Schizosaccharomyces pombe: one gene and its partners. Changing the gene in region 1 together with any one later gene gives a genetic interaction. Each region holds a gene or a part of one and is shown in the gene's direction. Other genes may lie near its edges. The genes, in order: arg1, car1, atg13 and aru1.

What was found.
Region 2: mutations in arg1 (region 1) and car1 impair growth when combined (synthetic growth defect), as found in Schizosaccharomyces pombe (one study listed by BioGRID).
Region 3: mutations in arg1 (region 1) and atg13 impair growth when combined (synthetic growth defect), as found in Schizosaccharomyces pombe (one study listed by BioGRID).
Region 4: mutations in arg1 (region 1) and aru1 impair growth when combined (synthetic growth defect), as found in Schizosaccharomyces pombe (one study listed by BioGRID).

What each region holds. Positions count from the first base shown.
Region 1 is NC_003421.2:1,611,903-1,617,608, reverse strand, and holds arg1 (acetylornithine aminotransferase), read left to right. Parts: upstream 1-2,672; 5' UTR 2,673-2,711; coding exon 2,712-2,783; exon of another isoform or gene 2,784-2,811; intron 2,812-3,031; coding exon 3,032-4,285; 3' UTR 4,286-4,562; downstream 4,563-5,706. Other genes in the region: SPOM_SPCC777.12C (ER stress response thioredoxin family membrane disulfide oxidoreductase), read left to right, coding at 1-399; protein Gta3, read right to left, coding at 560-946; NEDD8-conjugating enzyme Ubc12, read left to right, coding at 1,491-1,581, 1,648-1,743, 1,826-1,914, 2,026-2,173, 2,421-2,530; Protor homolog, Bit61, read left to right, coding at 5,045-5,706.
Region 2 is NC_003423.3:323,100-328,048, reverse strand, and holds car1 (arginase Car1), read left to right. Parts: upstream 1-2,818; 5' UTR 2,819-2,886; coding exon 2,887-3,858; 3' UTR 3,859-4,105; downstream 4,106-4,949. Other genes in the region: fet4 (iron/zinc ion transporter), read left to right, coding at 1-57.
Region 3 is NC_003424.3:4,839,532-4,846,075, reverse strand, and holds atg13 (autophagy-associated protein kinase regulatory subunit Atg13), read left to right. Parts: upstream 1-2,472; 5' UTR 2,473-2,631; coding exon 2,632-2,766; intron 2,767-2,844; coding exon 2,845-2,940; intron 2,941-3,184; coding exon 3,185-5,230; 3' UTR 5,231-5,591; downstream 5,592-6,544. Other genes in the region: protein mug126, read right to left, coding at 13-213, 252-1,221; BUD22 family ribosome small subunit biogenesis protein, read right to left, coding at 5,796-6,544. UniProt on the Schizosaccharomyces pombe protein: Component of the atg1 kinase complex that activates the atg1 kinase in a nutritional condition dependent manner through the TOR pathway, leading to autophagy.
Region 4 is NC_003424.3:1,941,497-1,946,470, forward strand, and holds aru1 (arginase Aru1), read left to right. Parts: upstream 1-2,682; 5' UTR 2,683-2,734; coding exon 2,735-3,706; 3' UTR 3,707-3,872; downstream 3,873-4,974. Other genes in the region: SPOM_SPAC3H1.06C (transporter), read right to left, coding at 1-1,290; SPOM_SPAC3H1.08C (uncharacterized protein), read right to left, coding at 3,930-4,356, 4,397-4,605.

The sequences.
Region 1 (5,706 bases):
CACTTTGCCCGTGTTTACTTGAGCAGTAGCCTCGAACTTTCTGTACGCTTACTCATTTCTCGGATTCCTTCTTATTATTTCATCGATAATCAAAATTTCTACCGTGTTTCTCCTCAGGTTCTTCCCAAGAACAAGGCAATCGCCTTATATGAAAAAGACGGGTTCAAAAGTATGAAAAAAGAGCAAGGTTTTTTCTCTGTTAACGGGCCCTTGAAGTCCTTTTACTGGGTCTTTGGAAAGGCACTTGCACTTTACGGACACTTAAGTCAAAAATACACCCCTCTTGGAATGAATGTAGCTATTTTTGGGATCTCTGCCTACATAATGTATCGCTCTAGCAAAAAAGCGAAACAAAAACAAGCCGCTGCTGCTGCCGCCGCCGCTGCAAAAAAGAAATAAGCTATGTGGAAAATACTATTAGTTTTTGATAATATCAATTTTTTGAATAATTATACGAGAGTTTGTTACATGTTCTATATGTAAGGCACCGCTCTAGTAAAGGTTTATACCCTATTTGTTTCATTCCTTCCTTTTTTAACAGAACGTAGATTTTCCAACCTTATTGCTTGTTTGGAGATTCATTAGAGGAATCATCTTTTAGCTTAGAATAAACGGCAAAGTACTGCCCGTCTCTTTTCTTAGCATTCTGAAATACATTCCACGGCTCTTGATCGGGTAATGATGGTAGAGATTCCGCATTAATAGCATGATTCAAAGTACGAAATGGTTCCTTAATGAAGGATGTATCAAGTCTCTCAATTGCATGCATTTGAATGATTCCTTCGTTGAGTTTTAGAATTGTTCTTTCATTCTCTTCCTTAGAGTCTGCTTCACGAAGACCAACGAGCCTCAGCAAATGACCATACTCAGTTAAGCCAATTGGTTTGGGTGGATTTCCTTGGAGAATTCGTTTAAGTGAAACCTTTGAAGGTTTCAAAAATGGCATAGTGAAAAGGAAAATAGAGCTAATTACAAGAGAAAAATATAGTACAGGTTAAAAAAAAGATTCAATCTTAAACACTTTGTAAGTTTTTCAAATGCTTTGAAACAGCTGTCGAAGTTGTAGTCGGTTCCTACAATTTAACGACTAGGTTGTAAGTCTGGGTTTTTTTAGAATTAATAGTAAAGGAATATATTAAATCATTCGGTAAGTAAAGTCAATATAATCAGCTTCTCTAATTAGGAGAACTATTTTTCATTACTATGATAACCGTTTCCCATTCCCTAAATTTACGACATCCTGCGATGTCTGTATATAACTTTACATAGCAGTGTTCCAGTACGTAATATTGTTGAATGCTTGCGTAGAGTAACGACTTTATTAAAATTGGTTATTGCAATTGAATAAGGTAATATAAAATGCCACATTATTAGCACTTTAGGTGTCTACATGTTTCGCTATTTTTTAATGATGTATGAGAGTATTGTTTATACCCAAAATTGTAAGCGCATTTTCCATCCTTCTGCCTATTACAAGAATCGCGTAAATCATGAGAAAAATTTGGGAATTAAAAAAGAAAGAAGCTCAAAAAGAGAAAAATGCGTCAGGGATTAGTCCAGCACAAATCCGAATCCAAAAAGGTGCGACTCATCATGTTGATAACTTTTCGCGATTTACTCGAAACTAACCATTTTCGATGAATTTAGACGTTACAGATTTAGAAATCCCATCTACGATGTCTACAAGCTGGCCAGATCCTATAAAATTGAACGTGCTACATTTAGAAATCCGGCCTGACGAAGGTAAGTTTGTGATTCCGCATGAAAGAATATTTGGTGTAGACTTTTTGAGACTATTATTTTTTATTTTGATTAACATGAAAAGGGTATTACAAGGGTGGGAAATTTAAATTTCGAATCCAAATCGACGATAATTATCCTCATGATCCTCCTAAGGTTAAATGTCTAAACAAAGTATGTCAGTCATGCTCTAAATTAGAGTTGCAGCTTATGGTATATTTTTTGCATTTAAGAAAATAACCATTATAACATGTTTTGAACCCTTTCGTTCTGACCTACTGTTAGATCTATCACCCAAATATCGATATTGAGGGAAACGTATGCCTCAATATTCTGCGTCAGGATTGGAATCCAGTGTTGAATTTGAATTCTATTTTGGTTGGATTGCAATTTTTATTCTTGTCACCAAACGCAGAAGATCCACTCAACAAAGGTAGGTTAATTACAATTTTTTGGGGGGCAATGAACTATTTCTTGTTATTGCATTACAAGGAAATGATTATTCATCTCTTAACTATCATTTGATACTCATTTTTTCTACGATCCTTTATTATGGGATTTATAAGGTTCTTTACTGAGGACAATGATTATGATAAGCAATTTTAATATAAGAAATCTGGTTTGCTCCTTAACAAATTTTCTAGATTTATTTAACTATACTAACAAACGATATCTTTTAGAGGCGGCGGCTGATTTGCATAAAGACCCTCAAGGATTTGCATCTCGTGTGCGTACAGCCATGAAAGGTGGTCTTGTGAATGGAATTTCTTTTGACAATGTCATGGCTTAATTTTTCATCAATCTAAATCAATTCGATAAAGATAACCGACATAGATTAGACGACTGTCATGAAAATATTGATGTGTTTTAAATCTCGCTAAATCAGTCACGATTACGATGAACTTCCGATATCAGTATAAAAACACATAACCAGAACCAAACCCCCCTAATAAGCCCGTAACTGCTTTACAATGTTTCAAAGACGATCACTTCTCTCTGTTCGTTCGTCTGGTTCCCAAATCGCCTTTCGTCGATTTGTCAGCGTAAGTACAAGTTTGTTGATAGAGTATGCATTGTAAGTGCAACTGAACATACGATGGCAAATAATTAGACTATCATCTAATTCTGATTGTTTTCGAGAATTCTGTACTTTGCTCTTGTTTTTAGACAAGTATTGATGTTGAGAATGCTTCTTACTGACCCAACAAAATAAATCTTCATTTGTGCTTTCATACTGCCTCATACAGTACTAATTTTAATATTTCTTAAACTGCTTATTAACCAAGTTTAGCTTACCCACAAAGATCCAACTCCTGATACAACCAGTTGCAATATTATCAAGAAGGAAGGGGCGAATATTATATCAGTTTATGCACGCTATCCAGTCGTAGCTGCTAAAGGTGAGGGCTCCTATTTGTTTGACAAGGAAGGTCGTAAATACATTGACTTCACCTCTGGCGTAGCTGTTACATCTTTGGGTCATGCTCATCCTGAAGTTGCTAGACTTGCCGCTGATCAATGCTCCAAATTAGTCCATAGTAGCAACCTTTTCTACAACGAGCCTGCCATTGAGCTATCTAATGTCATTAATAATTCTTTGGCAAAAAATAGCGGTATTGCTGGCCCCACAAAAATTTTCTTTGCCAATTGTGGTACTGAGGCCAATGAGACAGCCTTGAAGTTCGCTCGTAAGGCAGCGTTTGAGAAGTATGGAGAAGGGAAGAGTCAAATTGTTTACTTTAATAACTCTTTCCACGGCCGTTCTTTGGGATCTCTTAGTATCACTGCGAACCCCAAATATAAACGTGGTTTCCAACCATTACTTCCTGATGTCGTCCAAGCCGTCTATAATGACCCTGCATCCATAGAGCAATTTGTCAATGACAAAACTGCGGCTGTTATTGTCGAGCCCGTTCAAGGTGAAGGTGGTATTTGTCCTGCCAAGCCTGAATTTTTGATTGCTTTGCGCAAGGCCTGTGATAAGGTTGGTGCTTCTTTAATCTATGATGAAATTCAATGCGGACTTGGTCGCAGCGGTGATCTTTGGGCCCATAGTATCGTTAAGGATGTCGCTAGTCCCGATATTATCACAGTTGCCAAACCTTTGGCTAATGGTCTACCTATCGGCGCCACCATTGTCTCCAGTAAGATCGCTGCTGAAATTCACCCTGGTGAACATGGCAGTACTTTCGGAGGTAATCCTGTTGCTTGCCGTGTAGGCACATTCTGTGTTAATGAATTAGGGTCATCCAAGATTCTACAAAACGTTAGAAAGCAACACAAGGCTCTTACTTCACGTTTTGATGACTTTGTTGCCAAATACCCTAATCTTATTCGTGGATATGCTGGTCGTGGTCTTCTTCTTGGTTTGCAATTTACCGAGCCCCCTGCTAAATTTATTGAGCTTGCTCGTCAACAAGGTCTTTTACTCTTACCAGGTGGAAACAACAACACCCGTGTCCTTCCTAGTTTGAATGTTAAAGATGAGGTTATTGCTAAGGGTTTGGATATCATGGAGAGCACTTTGAAGGCTTTAAGTAAGTAAAAGTGTATGTTTTCGTAGACTTGGTCATTGAATGGATTGGTTATATAGTGCGATAAAAAGTGATTATTACGAGAAATCTTGTTCCTCGAAAACATATATTAACCTTGCTCTCATTTGCCAACCAAAAAATTTTTTGATAGGGGGGTTACGAAAAGCTTAGCTGGAAGCTTTACATTGTAAATACTGGTTTTCGTTATTCCCTTTCTTTTCATAATCAATTTTGTTTACATTTTTTGTTAGAAAATTAGATATATATTGTTGTTTTTCATCTACTAAACTGAATTGTCGTAATATGTACCGTAAATACTCTGTCAAATGATAGTAATTCACAAAATCAATGTTTTTTTACTGCGTTTTCTATTACTAACTTTTAAAAAGTTATATAGCAAATAACATTCCATGTTTTCTTTTAGCATTAACTATTTTTTTCTTTGGCATACAATTATTATATCAACATGCTATTCATTCAATTCACATTAGAACGATATCGTTATAAGGAATTCTTAATCAATTTTTCGTTTCTATATTTTATCTTAATTTAAGGCGCACATCGATACTTTAGCAAAATACCACCATATTCAAAAATAAACAAAATTTTTTATCTTTCTAAAAAATATCATTTTTTTAAGTAAGTTTAATCATTTTATAATGATTGAACAATGAATATCATCTCATGCTTATTTTGAAGAATCGCATTTCGCGTAACTAAAAGCAAATTTCTTGGATACCCTCAGTACATTTCCAAAAATATTACTAAAGATGGTAGGGAGGGGATCTTTTTCATCTACCTCGAGCGCCTCATCCATTAATTGGATTCCAAAAAACACTAAAACTAGCATTGAAAGTGTTTCTAACACTATTTCGTTGTCGGAAAATGGGCAGAACCAAGACTTGGAGACTGTTACTACTAAGGAATCAAACGTTGGCGACTCTGACACGACTGAAAACATTAAAAGTCCGTTTAATGGACAATGGCCATTTAGCAGAAGATCTAGTCAAAGTAGCAGTCATCCGGTTTTTGAGGAAACACATTGGAGTAAGCATTCCAAGCGCCCAGGAAAGTTGAACGTTTTAACGCCTACTAGCCCTTCTAATGTTAATGCCGAAGTTCAAAGTATTTCTACGAAAACTCAATTATCGCTGCTTAACCTCTCTCCGCATAAGCATAAAAAGCCTAAAGATGGTTTAGATCTTTCTGCTTTGCAGAAAACGCTCAACGGGTCTCGAAATTTCTTAAGAGGAAGAAGAGACGCTGGGGGAATTTTTGGCGCTTCCATCCCACAATCACTTGTTACAAATCAAATAATCAATGGCTTCGGTGCAGCCTCTCTTGCATTTGCTAAATTGGGCAAAGTTCGCTCTCCTTTAGAAGGTCGCTTTAACCTGGTTCCCATATCCGCGGATGAAACTTGGCTTATTGT
Region 2 (4,949 bases), on another chromosome or scaffold:
TTGACAATCTTGAAAATGCTTGCCGGTGATAACTATTCAACCACCAGCACTGTTTAATTTTAATTGTTCCTTTTTTCTAAACAACAAGTTCCTACCCGTTGAAATGAAATATCATTGCCTGCTTGCTTTCATTTGAGCAAAAGCCAGCTGGGCTCATTATAATGCATCTTCGGTATTAAATATCTGGATTTTGGCTGAAGTGTTGCAACTTTGCTTAATCGTTCTCATCAAATGCTCTTGGATTGGTTGTTAATGATAATATTTATTAATGTTGTTTTATTTTTTACTTAGCTTCTGGCTTGAAGGTTATTATAGCCGTTGCTATCCACTGCGAGGTTTTTTTCCATAAATTCTTTGCTTCTTGGTTACGACTTTCAATTTAATTTTCATAGACGTGCGTCTGTTGATGATTAATTTCTTTGATTTTTGTTATCCATTTGTTAACCCCCTTTCATGACTTACTTAACAATTTCTTTAATGGGGAGCGGACTATTATCTCACAATAATTTTTTTTTGCGTCCATCTCCACCCTCTTAATGTCGAATAATTATCTTTCATTTATTTTTTTTTTGAAAATTTAATTCACTTTTTTTAAATTCAGTTTACATTTTAAATTGTCAAGTCCGTAAACGAATCAGTGCACTTTAATGTAGGATACCTTTTATAAGTTCAGCAGCTTTTATTGTAATCTACTATGTTTGCAAGATCGATTATAAATCATAAAATTTTAATAGTATGTCATCTCTTAAAACATACCTTTTTTTTTTCTTCTTTTTTACGAAAAAAAAAATTTGAAAATATTAAATTAATGGATACTATCGATGTTCCAATACAAACTGTTTGTCTGTTCGTTTTGGACATGCACGGAATCTACATTAGTTCATTAAGGGTTCAAAAATCTCTAGATACTGGTTTCTATCATACCGAACAATGTGGAAATGCTTACTGCAAATTTGTCTTCTAAACAATGAATCGTTGTCATGAGAATACTCGTTTATGACACAATTGCAGCGTGTTATTCGATTTTTTACTTGTTTTTGTGCACGGCATGTAGACCGTGTTCAGCATGTCTAGATCATGTAGTGTCAATTTTGATAGATCGGTTGACATTTCAATAAAAATATGGACATGACGGTATACAACACAATAGATCATTTTTTTATTTAGTGTTGATCAGTAATCTAGTGATATATTTATTTAGCTAGATCATAACCCTAATTTTTTCTATATTTTCATTACCCTTTCGGTTTTTTATGAAATTATGATGGTTTGATACATATTTGCAATTACAATATATACTGCTAATACTTAAATAAATCACGTTGCTCCCGTGGCCTAATGGCTAGGGCATTTGACTTCTAATCAAGGGATTGTGGGTTCGAGTCCCGCCGGGAGCTTTACGTTTTTTGTTTTTCGATCAGTTACTAATTGTTTGAATTTTCTTAATTTGAATGATGAACTTATTATAACAGATTTTAATAACTTGAAATCCTGAGGATGAAAATAAACATTAAATACTTTTCACCTAATAGTTGCCAAACGCATATGGGTGATAATAATCTAGTTATATCCATGCTATCCACGGCGGATTAATGACCGAAATTAAGTCTCACCCTTTTTCAAATTATTGCTAAAAGAAGCATGCTTTCCTTTGATCATCATAAGCATTGTTTACTCGTTGAACAAAAAAAAAACTAAAAAATATAAAAATCGATTCCAATACAAAATCAAAAATTTAATCGATGCATCAACCGGGAGTCGAACCCGGAGCTAATGCTTGGAAGGCATTGATGTTACCGCTACACCACTGATGCGTTACTGAGAGAGATAATTAAGTTGCAAAATTTATACCTTAAAAATTATTACAAATTAAGGAAATCGAGCAGAGGTCAGCAGCACACCAGTAGAAATTATAAATTTTGTTATTTTTAATAAAAACATAGTTAAACTTGACAAAAAGATATATACATTTTCCTTAAACTGATAACATTACAACACCTTTTAGCACAACGTCAATTATAGCTTTAATAGCTTCTTAAACTCGCTTGCTAATCTTGGCGATATTGTTGCTAGTTAAATTAATTTTTATCCTTTACTCATTTAAAAACCAACATTTTTATATTCCTCCTATACCAATGTTACAATAATCGTTACAAAATATTCAATCAATTTAATAAATTTTTTTATTTCTTTTTCTTTTTCTTTTTTGGTTACAATGTTCAAAAAATATAAGTTATTCATCAGATATTCTCCATATTAAACTTGTAAATACAAAACAAACTACCGTCTGAATAAAATTTCATCTATCATGCTATAATACAATACAATTCCGAAAATAAGTCACTTGACCCATGGAATTCCGTAGCTTAGTTTCGATCTTTTCCGTTCCATGGTAAATATGACTTGTTTCAAAAAATGGCTATGGAAAATATTCCCAGAGGGGTTGGGTGTATATTATGATTTTACGTCCTATTTCTATTAATTTTCCATAGTGTGATTTTTTCCTTTCTTGAATTACTTTATTTTTATTTAATTTATTTTCTTTGCTTTATTTCATTTCGTTTGATTTATTTTATTTATTTATTTATTTTTTTTTTTAATAATAGTGAACCGAGCTATCGTTACGGAGTATAGAAATGTTGAGTCCGTGGAATTAATATCCCGTTTTTAGGTTGATGAGTCTAATATGATTGCCCGCAAGATCTGATAACGGCCGGTAGATAAAATACTCAAAGACTATTGAGTAAGCAAACGCTCACTATTTATTAAAGCCGTCATCGGCATGAAAAACGGAATTCCATAAATTTCGCAACCTCCCATCTACTTCAAAGGGTCCTTTGCTATACACAACATCGTTTCTACCTGACTGAATCAAAAATATATACAATGTCTCCTCATAAAATACCCGAAGTACATAGACATATTATGTCTAGTAGATACATGGAGGGAAATGCCGTCTCTATCATAAATATGCCATTTTCAGGCGGTCAACCCAAGGACGGTGCTGAATTGGCTCCAGAAATGATTGAGGCGGCTGGATTGCCTGAAGACTTGGAGCGTCTTGGTTATAGTGTCAACGTCGTTCAAAATCCCAAATTTAAAAGTCGACCTTTAAAAGAAGGCCCTAATCAAGCCCTCATGAAAAACCCACTCTACGTTAGCAATGTTACTCGCCAAGTTCGTAATATTGTTCAACAGGAACTAGAGAAGCAAAGGATCGCGGTCAACATTGGAGGAGATCATTCACTTGCCATTGGCACTGTTGAAGGTGTACAAGCTGTCTACGATGATGCTTGTGTCTTGTGGATTGATGCCCATGCTGATATTAATACCCCCGATTCATCCCCTTCAAAGAATCTTCATGGCTGCCCATTGTCCTTTTCCTTGGGATATGCCGAACCTCTTCCTGAAGAGTTTGCTTGGACAAGAAGAGTAATTGAAGAGCGTCGTCTTGCGTTCATCGGTTTGCGCGATTTGGATCCTATGGAACGTGCTTTTCTTCGTGAACGCAGCATCACTGCTTACACTATGCACGATGTTGATAAATATGGAATAGCCAGAGTAGTAGAAATGGCATTGGAACACATCAATCCAGGAAGGAGACGTCCCATTCATCTTTCTTTTGACGTCGATGCCTGTGATCCAATTGTCGCTCCAGCTACTGGAACCCGTGTGCCAGGCGGTTTGACCTTTCGTGAAGCAATGTACATTTGTGAAAGTGTTGCAGAAACTGGCTCTCTAGTTGCTGTTGATGTTATGGAAGTTAACCCACTTTTAGGCAACAAAGAGGAAGCCAAGACAACTGTGGATTTAGCTCGCTCTATTGTTCGAACTTGTCTTGGTCAAACGTTATTGTAGAACCATGTATTTTATGCTATATCATGAATTAGAAGTATGTTACGCGTCGGATTAGCTACTGTGCTTTTTCAACGTCCCAACACACAAGTATATTAATAAACTCAAAATCTCATAATTCAGACACTGTACCGACAAACTTGGGCAAAGTTACTGTTTGGTTCTCAGATACTTGACTAGACTATTTAAGAAAGAATTTTACTTTTTCACATGAATTGAATTGCTTAGGTGCTAAGAACCCGAAATGTATGCTTTAGACTGTTGACTAAATATTATAATTATGACCAATATTAACTTTCAATTAAGTAATTCTTTTACTACTCTTTCAATTAAACTGATGGTCTTTTAGTACATTTATGAAGCGTCAAAATATTTTTTTACCAACCATAAACCGTTTTTTTCCTCCTTGTAATTCAAATTTTTCATAATGTCTTAACAAAAATGAAATTTTCTATTCGAATTTTCCCACTAATTGAAATTTAAAATTTGAACCCCAATACCATTACCATAATATTAAAAAAAATAACTTTGAGGTACTAATAGTTTCTGTCAGCGCTAGCTAATGAACGAGAAAAATAACTGTAAAAAAAAAAATATTGTCAATTTCCATCATACAACGAAAAAAAGATAACCATCGTCCTTATTTTTGATACCTTTTTAGATTTTTCCTCCGTGGTAAGAATTAATAATTTGTTTTTCTTTCACTTTCACCCACGGATGCATAACAGCCATCGTTTGTATCTTATCTATTTTTGCTTATATACTTGACAAGTGCGACGAGCCATCAATCCGAAAAAAGATCTTTATCATTTTTACTTTTCCATTAATAAATATTAACAATATCATATTGATACAACTGTTTGTCATCGCTGACAAATGAATTGTTATTTGATATCAGTCCTCCTGAACAAACATCGATAACTCGATATTGCCAGATGTTATTGGATATAATTTATGGATTAAAAATTCAACAAGCAATTTAACTTGGAATAATAAATAATACCATACGCAAGGGAATTCTCGTATTCTATTCAATTTCTATATTAATAATGAATAATAATATAAACCAAGTCCGCAAATCTATAGTTTCATTT
Region 3 (6,544 bases), on another chromosome or scaffold:
TTGAAAACTTACCCCCTAGCTCAATAATGTAAACATTTATAGCAGCAAAAATCGAATAAATTTCCAGCGGTATTTTTTCGAATTGCGGGTAGGGTGTGTCTATTAGAAAACAGAATACCCTTGTCAAAAAGAAGATACAGGCGTAAACCCAAAAACATGCGCCGCAATATATCGCCATTCGTTTTAAAATATTTAAAAAATTTCGAAACAATGCTAAAAAATTAGTATTGATATTATGGTGTTTAACTTACCTAGGTAGATTAGCCCTCTGGCAATCATCAAAACTCCAAACAAACACCACAGGAAGATTTGTGCCGAAACTGTTGCTTCAAACCCGTATTCCTTTGAAACATATTCAATTAAATCAAGAAAGGCTAGCAAGTAGACTCCGTATCCAAGTAAGGAAATGACAAATATTTTTGAACGGCGTGTCTGAGGTTTTGAGTTGCTGTTTGTGATTGTCGCCTGATTTCTATTTCGAAGATTATAATGTTCCTGTTGAGTAGTCTTCGGTTTTTGCTTGTCATCTTGAGTTTCCTGTCGATCAAATGATGATTCCTCTTGATTGCTCGAAGTCTCCTGTTGATTAGCTTGTGGTTCCTGGGGTACAGCTTTTTGACCAGCCTGTGGCTCCTGTTGGGTGACCTTTGAATAAGCTTGAGGGTTTTCTTGAACAGTCTCCAATTTTTTCCCAGCATTCTGAAGCTCCTCCTCTTGAACTGTCGAAGTTTTCTTTTTGTCCGTTTGTGATTCCCCTTGAGTAATGAAAGCTTCATATTGAGAGTCTAATTGAGGATTTCGAGGATCCTCCTGGTCAGTTGGAAAGTTCGCTTGACCAGTGTGAGATTCCTGTTGATCACTTTCAAAGCTTTGCATTCTTCCCATTTCAATTGAATCAATTCCCATCTCCAGGTCGCATGGTTTTTCTTTTGACTTTGTAAGAATGAATGATTTGATTACTTCCTTCAAGTTATACATTCTATGTCTCTGTTCATGCTTCACAAGTGGACTTGACGATCTAGAAGATCTATTCTGTTCATCTTCATTTTCGTCATTGACATTTTCCGGACACGGATCCTCTAGTAAGGTCTTCTGAATATTTCCAGATTCTGAACCATCTTCCTCCATTTCTTCTTGCACGTTGAAAATGGTTTCATTTTCCAAAACGTAAAAAGACGACAATGATGTTGATGATGTATTCTCGTTAAGCATTTCTCCCATTTCTTCAACTTATCTCTATCTTATTAATTATTGTTAATATTGAAGCAGTAAATCTGTTTTCAACAGTCAGATAATTTATAATTGGGGAACCGAAAAATGAAGACTTCTAAATAAAAACAAATAGCAGCAGTACAATTAAAGCCAAGCGATTATATTGGATTTCTAAAAAAAATAGAAACACCTTGTAACCAACAAATTTGAAACTTCAAAAAGTAGTATTTTAATCTTGGTGATTTGGAATGTAAAGAATATATAACATTTTGACAATTGATGATGAAAACATCGCAGCATCATGACTTATGGCATCTGCAATTTAATAGCAAAAACAAAAATTAATTAAAGTCTCGTTTCTTTATGACTCCTTATATCGTTGGTAAACCAGAGTACGAAATTCAAGGTATTTTAGTACTACCACATAATTTAATTCCTTTTTTTTTTTAAAAACGAAAAGGGCTGAGCAAACCTAAGCTTGCAAAACTTAGTACTGCCAAAAAAATGAGCATTTTATTAAAACTAAGAGCTCTTAGAAGTCAGTAATATCCTTTTAACTTCGGGTTAAAATCATGACCATTACCTTTAACATCAGTTGCATCGCTTCAAACATGATAATACTGAGGGTTTTACATTTAACTTTCACAAAAGTGATAGAGAATGCATCCTAAATCAATAAGCTAGTGCTTGTAAATGATTTTAATTAGTTAATAATTACCGTACACTCAGCCAACATAAATCGACATTATTGTTTGTTTTCCATAAGCGATGTTTGTGTATTTGGGTTTTAAAATAGCGAATATTTAGCGGCTGTCAACAAACATTTCCTACATTTAGCAATACATTACGTATCATCATTTGTTGTGCAATAAAAAAAAACGGTTAATATCCATTTATTGACAATTTTCGAAAATTGTATGTTTATGTCCGAAGTTTTTTCGGATTAAGGGAATCATAAATCAAATAAAACTCAGATTACTTAATTACTTGTTGTAGGTTATGCTCCATTTATTGTGAATTTAAATTGTTCCCTTCAACAAGACTACTTGCAGCACTGTTGCACATAATCCCTTTATATTCCAAAATAATAGCTCACAAAACAAGATTCACCGCAGTTTAAAGAGCCTTTAAATATAGCTACCATTTGTCTTATAACGTGATCGAAAGAAATCGTATTTAACGCAACGCTAATATTTACCGTGCTTCGTTGGAGCATGGCATCTGTAGTATCTTTTGCCGCTTACTACAATACTCTGCCTTACCAAATACGAACTGCAAAACCAAATTCATTCAATTAGGAAAACTAATTAAAAACTGCTTTATCAATTTAAAGAATGAGCTAACAATCAAATTGTTACATTAAAAAATTAATAATTTATACTTTGAAGTTGCAATTGAATTAATGGAAACCACATTGATATGCCGAGACTTAATACGCAGCTTCCTCGAATGTATTCTGCTCCCCCTGGGCATAGTAAAGCAGTTTCAACTGAGTTAAATAAAGATCTATCATCAGTGGGTGGTAGGAGCGCTAAGCTGGGCCAAGTCATTCACGTAAGTTAAAGTGTGTATCATAAGCTTGCTTGAGGTCCACCCATCCTTTACTTGAAAAGTATTAACATTTACAAATAGCATTGTTTTTATAAAACCGGATTAATAATTTTGGAATCCAGACTAAATGTATTTGGGACCTCTCGTCCTCGAGAAAGTTCTAAGAATAACAAATGGGTATGTATTTTTGTTTTTCTACAATGACGAGTATCGGTGTTATGCGCTTTATTCATACAGTGGTTTTCAAAAAACTCAAGATTATTTATCAATTACTTATCAGTTTACGTTCATCTCGTGCGTCTGCATAGAGTTTCATTTTTAAGCTACAGGTGAATAAGTTGATCACTGTACTATTGATGTATAAATGTGGAATTACAAATAATTAAAAAATTCATATTTGCACTTAATTAACAAAATGTAGTTCAATTTGGAAATTGTTGAAACTGAGCTTTATGCCGAGCAATTCAAAATTTGGAAGAATATTGAACTTTCTCCTTCACGAAAAATACCTCCAATGGTTTTGCACACATATTTAGATATATCTGATTTATCAAAAAATCAAACCCTTTCTGTTTCCGATGGTACTCATTCTCACGCAATCAACTTTAATAATATGTCGACAATGAAAATCGTACTTGAAAGATGGATTGTGAATTTAGATGGCGAAGCCTTATCAACCCCTCTGGAGTTGGCTGTTTTGTACAAAAAGTTAGTTGTTTTATTTCGTTCCCTCTACACTTATACCCATCTTATGCCTCTGTGGAAATTGAAGTCGAAAATACACAAATTAAGAGCTCATGGTACATCTTTAAAAGTTGGCTGTGCCCTCTCTACGGATGATGTTTTATCGAATGATTTCCTTCCTATAAGTGCTCCAATTTCATCCTCGCTCGGAAGCAGTATTGCAACTTTCTCTTTCAGCCCTGTTGGTACACCAGCTGGAGATTTTCGCATATCTGTTCAGTATCGTAAAAATTGTCATTTTGAGGTTCATGATTCTGATGCGTTACTCTCTAACCAGTTGTTATCTGCAGACAAGCATCAACTTGCTGCTTCGAACAATTCTCAAGATTTTGAAGATGGCAAACAGTATGATCAACCACCTCCTTCTTTTGCAACGCGGTTAGCTAAGCAGTCGGATCCGAATTCTCTTTTACAATCTGAAATCCAACATTTAGCTAGCATTGAGTCTATAACAGCTCAAGCAGCTCCTCTTGTTACTATACATCCTTTCAAATCTCCGTCATTATCTGCTTCCCCAGGGTCAAATTTTGACAATATGTCAATTTCTCCGAAGGTTGCAGTCAATCGTTATATACATCGCGGACCATCAGCCACCTCTTTAAATAAATTTTCAATGATTTCTGATGCTGCAAGCAAATCAAGAGCAAAATTGCCACCTCTTACATCTGGAAGTCTTAAGCTTAACACACTTGACATTTCCAATACCCCGAATCTTCGACGATTTAGCAGTAGTTTCGGTCCCCGCGAGCGTAAAGAAAGCTTTAGCTCTCGTAATCGTTTACCGCTAGTCAATCATCCTATTCGTAGCATTTTCAAACATAACGTCTCAGAGAATCCTATAACAGATCATTCTGAGCATGCTGTTTATGATAGTGAATTTGCATCAAAGGATGATCTTAGCGGTTTTATTCAACTATTAGATAGTCATGCACATCATTTAAATGCTTCGGAAGGTAGCAAATCAAGTGGTTCATTTCCAGGGAAGGTACAAACTTTGACATCTGGAATTTCGCCAGTTGCTCACCCTCATAATTCCTTGGGTAGTAGCAATGAAATTTTTGACATCGATACCTATAATCATTCAATTGATAATAGCGGATCCCGTTTTACTGAGGCTGTGAAGCATAATCTTGGAAATTCTAGCCATAGCATCATGCGCCATCACACTTTAGGTACGCTGCGATCTCGGCCTTCCTTCTCTGAAAAATCTACCTTCCCTGCTCCCCTGACATCCATTTCACAAGCTTCCACGTTCCAAGGAGATAACCGGTCTCCAAGCACTGTTATTCCTCATACTCAAACTGAAGTACCATCAGCAAACGATACTTCAAAGCAACTAGCATCTCTTCACGATATGCGGAAAAGTCAATCACCAATTTGTGCTAGATCGGCTACTTCTGCTGGACTTCCGCGTTTCGAATATCACACCAGCTTATCCAAATCACTGGAACATTCATCAACGCCAGCAAGCCTACAAGCAACAAAGACGCCCAGCCCTTCTTTTGTACTTGAGCCGGGAATCCCACAAGAGTACAAAAAGCACTTTGATAATCTTTCTGAAGAACGACGTCAATGTCTTACTCCTTCAACACCTACTTACGAATATTACAATGAGCATAACCCCAATTATGATGATGATTTATTGTTCACAATGACTGATATGACTCTTGAACCCCATGATGTTTCAGCTATTAGGCTTGGTTCTCCCAAATCCGATGATTAAGCGAAGCCTATGTTTAGAATTTGGAGTGATATAGCATCCATTTAATGCACTCAACCATTCTTGTTTTCTTTTAATTTTTTAATAGTTTTTTTCAGCTGCATTATAGCTTCAATTAAGCTTCGTTCCATACAAGTGAATTTCGCAATATTCGCCTCAATTCATGAGCTTTGGGCAGCGATTGAAAATACTCATAATGTCTGACTGTACTTTTCACATTTACCATGATTAGTATCTACATATACTGTTTATCTAGCTAGTGTAGGTATTAATTGAAATTGTAATTTAGTTTCTAATAATTTAAAAAATCACAGTTATTGAAAATTTAAATTTACTAGTTAGCAACAGAAACATCATGAATAATAGTAATTTGTTAGCTCTGTTTATTCTGTGTATAAAATATTAGCAACGTATACAGTTTCAAGATATTAATACAATCTTCTAGCTGCGATTTGAGCAATGTAAAACGCTATGATGTTTTACCATTGTTTTGAAAAAAAGAGGATGTTTCTTACTTCCTGAATATCGAAAAAAAGCACTACTATTTTATAAATTGGAATGTTTAAGATTAGTCAAAAACTATTTTTTTACCCTGGAATGCTGCACTAGAAGGCATTTTTTGTTTCCTTTTAGCCTCCCAAGAGGGATGCAGTTGCTCTGGTTTTTGAGGTGTTTGGTGCTCCGTAAAAGCATTTTCACGAGCAGCACGTTTAGCTTGCCTTTCTTCATACTTTCTCTGTCTTTCTTCACGAATACTCCTTTCTTCAGTCGCTTTTTTTATCAAATGGTTAGCACCTTTACCATACTTTTTTTCCCAAATAGCTTGTCTAGCTCTTTGACCACGACGATTTTTACGCTTCGGGATATCTACTTCTTCTAACTCCTTTTCGACAAATTCATCATCACTTTCGACTGGATCTAAGAAGCCCGCTGTAAGGGCAGGCAGATTAGTATTGTTATGTTTGCCCAGAGGAATTTCCAACATCTCATCATCAATTATAGACTTCCTGTTTATTAAAGTAGCATTTTGAAGAGATGATTCTTTTACACCTTCATTTTTCATAGAATATGACATAGACTTGTTGATTTCTTTGTCCTCAGTATTATCCAAAATCATACCAGTATCTTGATTAACGCCATCGGTGCTATTTTGAACATGGGTATTATCCACTTGGTCTTGATTAGAAGTTGATTTGTTTGACAAATCTACTTTTCCGATGGTCTTAATGGGTTTTTGGGTAGAAGACACAGCCTTTTTATCTGACAACTCTTGTAAATCGGGGTTTAAGAAACGAAGATACTTTTCGAGTATTGAGT
Region 4 (4,974 bases), on another chromosome or scaffold:
ACCAGCTAATAAAACTATCCATCCTCCAATCATTGGATATCGATAATTTTTCAACTTTCCTATTCCCATACCACTAACAGCAGAAAGAAGTGAGGATACAACCGCTAGAGATAATGTGTGAACGCCAGACATCAAGGGCCCGTCACCTTTAATGTTTTGGAAGTATACTGGGATGTAGTAAGTAATTGTTGAGACAATATAATAATGTAAAAAGGATGTTACCATTACAGATGTTAAAGAGAGCGTTTTAAATGCCGAGGGAGTAATAATTCTAGTACGGGTAGTATAGAATTCATTGACAACAAAACCGGCAATGCACAGGATACCAAAAATTAAATAGCACAAGACATTGGCATGGGCCCAATGACCTGTTGTAGATCCAATATTCAAACCAACTAAAAACAACACAACACCAGTCGTAATGGTAATAATGCCCACAAAGTCAAAATCACGTAAAAACACGCGAAACGAAACTGTAGGCTTGGGTACAAGATTGAGGAAAAAAATCAAAAGTGCGAGCGAAAGACCACCAGTAGGTAGATTAATGAAGAAAATCCACCGCCAACTAGCCTTTTGCGAAATTGCACCACCGATTAAAGGACCCATGACAGAAGCAAGGCCCCAGGTGACTCCCATACAACCTGTGTAGTAAGGTCTAGTCTGTAAAGGAGTAATGTCAGCTATAACGATTGTAACTAGAGATGTAATGCCTCCACCGCCGATGCCCTGCACAGCACGGCATAGTACAAGCCAAAGCATATTTTGGGCAGCACCACACATGGCACTACCGAAGAGGAAAAGAACAATGGAAGTATAGAGGACAATTTTCCTACCGACTACTTCACTCATGATACCACAAAATGGAAGAATTGAAGTTTGAGCCAAAGTATAAGCAGTACCAATCCACGAATACGATGAACCGCCATCGAGATTTGCTACAATAGTGGGAATAGCTGTAGTAATGACAGTTTGGTCCAAGGCGGACAGGAAAATCGACAACATAAGTCCTGGAATAACGATGTACATTCGATTGGAGGGCAACACGAGGGTGAAATCGGAAGAATCATCTTTCTCAGACGATGCTTCATGGGTTGAAAACCGAGACTTTAGAGAACTAGTACCATAAATTTGATCTTGGGCTGAAATAGAAAAGGCTTTTGATTTTGCAGGCTTTAGCTCGTTCACCTCATCAACGGTGGAAGAGAACCATGTTACCTCATTCCCTGTGCTATAGAGATTCAATCCTCTAGTCGGATTCAAGCTACGATTTGGAGAAGACGAAGGGTTCATAATATCTTGGAGCTGAGAGACAAATGCAATTGTAAAGAAAGGGGTTCACAATTACAAAATGCAAAACGAAATGAAGTAAAATTCAAAAAGAAAATAGTAAGGAATGCAAGAAAAATTAAAGTAATGCAATATAATGACACTCTTGATTAGAAATATAACAAATGAAGAAATTAAAGGATGAAAAACAACATTCACATAGCAGCTATAGTGCTTGAATAGTTTTTAAATGGAAACGGACGCATTGTTATATTAATTTACAATGGAACTTTTTGACGATTTACAAAGATAGGAGATTCCGAGGAAGCACGCATCAGGCTGAACTAGAATGCCTAGTGGCAGCACATAGATAAAGTCCATGCACAACAGTATAAAGGAAGTGCACAAAGACAAAGGCAACCCTAGTTGAGCATCAAAGGGATGAGTATTTGAGCATCCTGACTATGACTTTGGCATGATTTCTGAATGATAACTCCGTATACACTTTTGTTTGGAACAGCCACAATTAAACAAATTTTAGAACATGCAGTAAGGTTCAGTAAACAGAAAGAGAGAAACAACGATGCTGCATAGTGTGAACGAGCTGAGTTCGATCGTAAAGTGACAGTAGCGAAGAGACAGACTATTATTGATTGTTAGGTTGACTGAAAAAATTTACAAAAAATGAGGTATTTTGATTTGACTATAAACAAAGCAAATTTCAGTATTCAATCTTTAAGCAAGTTTCTTAGGAGAAACCTAGAAGCAATGCAATACTATAATGGTTAAACAAAAAAGAGCTAACGTTAACCTGCAAAAGAGATGATAAAAGAAAGCAGTAAAAATAAAGCTATAGTTGCTATAAGTATGCAAGTAGTATGTAACGTATGAACTATTATACAAATTTCCCTTTGTATTGAAACTCGATATTAAAACGTTCTTTTAGTTTAAGAATCGCACTGGGACATCGGAAAATAACTGGGCAATGCACAGCCATTAGGAAGACTTTAAGAAAAAAAAAAACGACAGCTACTGCAAAACATCAAAGTTACAAGCGATTATTCCGACTGTTGAAATTTCAACACCCGACCCCCAAGGATCTAAGCATGATTTAAGCAGTAGGAGAGGCCTGAAAACCTGCATATCTAGCTCACAATACATTCATAAGAAGAAAAATAGATAACTTTAGATCTGCCATATCACTACTAAACAAAGAACGAACCTTCCCTTTATCGAGAAAGATAAAGAAGATAGTGAAATAAAGGTGAAGAACATGTTACCTTAGTGAAAATTTTACAACGCGGAATTACTCTGATATAACCTGCGAATGAGATTCGCTAATATTTCTGGGTGGCCTCCACGGACTTAAGAAAGAGCAAGTATATTAATTTTCATTCCGTTTTTGAACTTGTCTTTAGTATATGCCATTCTTTCTCTTCTTATTGAAAAGTACTCGAAAATAAAAAAAATGTCTCCTCATAAAATTAGTGATAACCACCGTCATTTGATGTTAAGTAGATTTATGATGGGAAATGGTGTTTCCATCATAAACATGCCTTTCTCTGGTGGCCAGCCCAAGGACGGTGCAGAGTTGGCTCCCGAAATGGTTGAAAAGGCTGGCCTTGTGGATGATTTGGAACACCTTGGATACGATGTCAAGCTCATCCAAAACCCCGAATTTAAAAGTCGTCCTTCCAAGGAGGGTCCCAACCAGGCTTTAATGAAAAACCCTTTATACGTTAGCAATGTTACTCGTCAAGTTCGTGATGCTGTCCAACGTGAATTAGAACAGCAAAGAGTTGTTGTCAACATTGGCGGTGATCATTCTCTTGCCATTGGTACTGTGGAGGGTGTGCAGGCCGTTTATGATGATGCCTGTGTCTTGTGGATTGACGCTCACGCTGACATTAACACTCCTGAATCTTCTCCTTCTAAAAATCTTCATGGTTGCCCCTTGTCATTTTCTTTAGGATACGCCGAGCCTCTCCCTGAAGAGTTTGCTTGGACCAAGAGAGTTATTGAAGAGCGTCGTCTGGCTTTTATTGGATTGCGTGATTTAGATCCTATGGAGCGCGCTTTTCTTCGTGAGCGTAACATAGCCGCTTATACCATGCACCACGTCGACAAATACGGAATTGGCCGTGTCGTTGAGATGGCGATGGAGCACATCAATCCTGGTAAGAGACGACCTGTCCATCTTTCCTTCGATGTTGACGCTTGCGATCCCATCGTTGCCCCAGCCACTGGTACCCGTGTTCCAGGCGGTTTGACTTTCCGTGAGGCAATGTACATCTGCGAAGCTGTAGCTGAATCCGGTACATTGGTTGCTGTTGATGTTATGGAGGTTAATCCACTACTTGGTAATGAAGAGGAGGCCAAGACTACGGTGGACTTGGCCCGCTCTATCGTTCGTACTAGTCTTGGTCAAACTTTACTTTAAAATTACAATTTATCAATATATAAAACGAATATTGATTTTCATGAGCTGACGGGACGAAGAGTGCATTCTTTTTATGTGGAATTAAGGGAAAAAATATAAATAACGTTACTATTGTTTAACCGTTTAAATAGAATTGACTTAGGTATTAACAAGTTTTTTGATCTGATTACTGAAGTTGAGTAAAAGCATATTATCACGTAAACATTTTTATTAAGGATAATCACTAAAAGTAAAACAAAATAATCAGTACAACGGAGGATACGACTCCAACGAAACCGGTGAACCATTGATTGGTTTGTATTTTCATGTCATTAATTTCTTTGTGTAAAATATCCACTTCATTGAGAATTTTCGTTTCATTTTCGTGAATATTTGTGTTTCTAGACGTTGCGGCATCTTTCATACGTCCTTTTTCAAGGTTTAAATTCAATCTGACTTCAGACAAAGCGGTTTTAACGTCTTCGCGGAGAGAACTCTTGGTTTTTTCAATTTCGTTAATAAGTTTATCAGAGCTTTTCCTAACTTTATCAAATTCATTTTCCTCAATCGTCTCCAAATACTTCCGAATTTGTAAAAATGTTCTTTTTTGCTGGAACGACACAGATTCCTGCTTAGCTTTAAATCCTATATTTTTCTCTAACTCTGTAAGCCTATAACGTTAGTTGGAAAGCTCTTAAACTTTTTACTTACGCCTCTCCAGTAATGGTCCTCATCAAATTAGTAATTGTTTCTGCATTTTTTACAGAATAACCAGCCTGCTCTAGTCTTCTGGAAGACTGTTTAAGCAATTCAGGGCTTGGTTCATAAGATGCAGAATATCTTTCGGATTGGATTCTATTAATAATCGTCCAAGGTCTATTTTGACTTAGAAATGGGAAAATTTGTTTCCGAATAATCATTTGTTCCTTTTTTATTTGTAAATTCTAAGGAACGATTCAATATTCATGGGCGATTTGAGAAAAGATACGTCAAAAAAAGTAAATTATGTTAAAGAAGCAGACAATTGCATTTGAAGAAAATCAATCTTTATACTACTACGTTCGGTGGTGATAATTTAGAGGTTTTGGTGTTTCTGATATGGTAAAATAAGGCGGACTAATGAATATTTTAGTCTCTAAAAATAAAAGAAATATATATGTATATTAAATAATAATTTTTTAAACGATTTAAATTGGGTTTTATTTCCATGATTATTCTTCACAAATTATGACTAAGGTAAACCAACTTGCTTTAAATTTTAGCGGGCCAGTCTTTAATATAGCATTTAC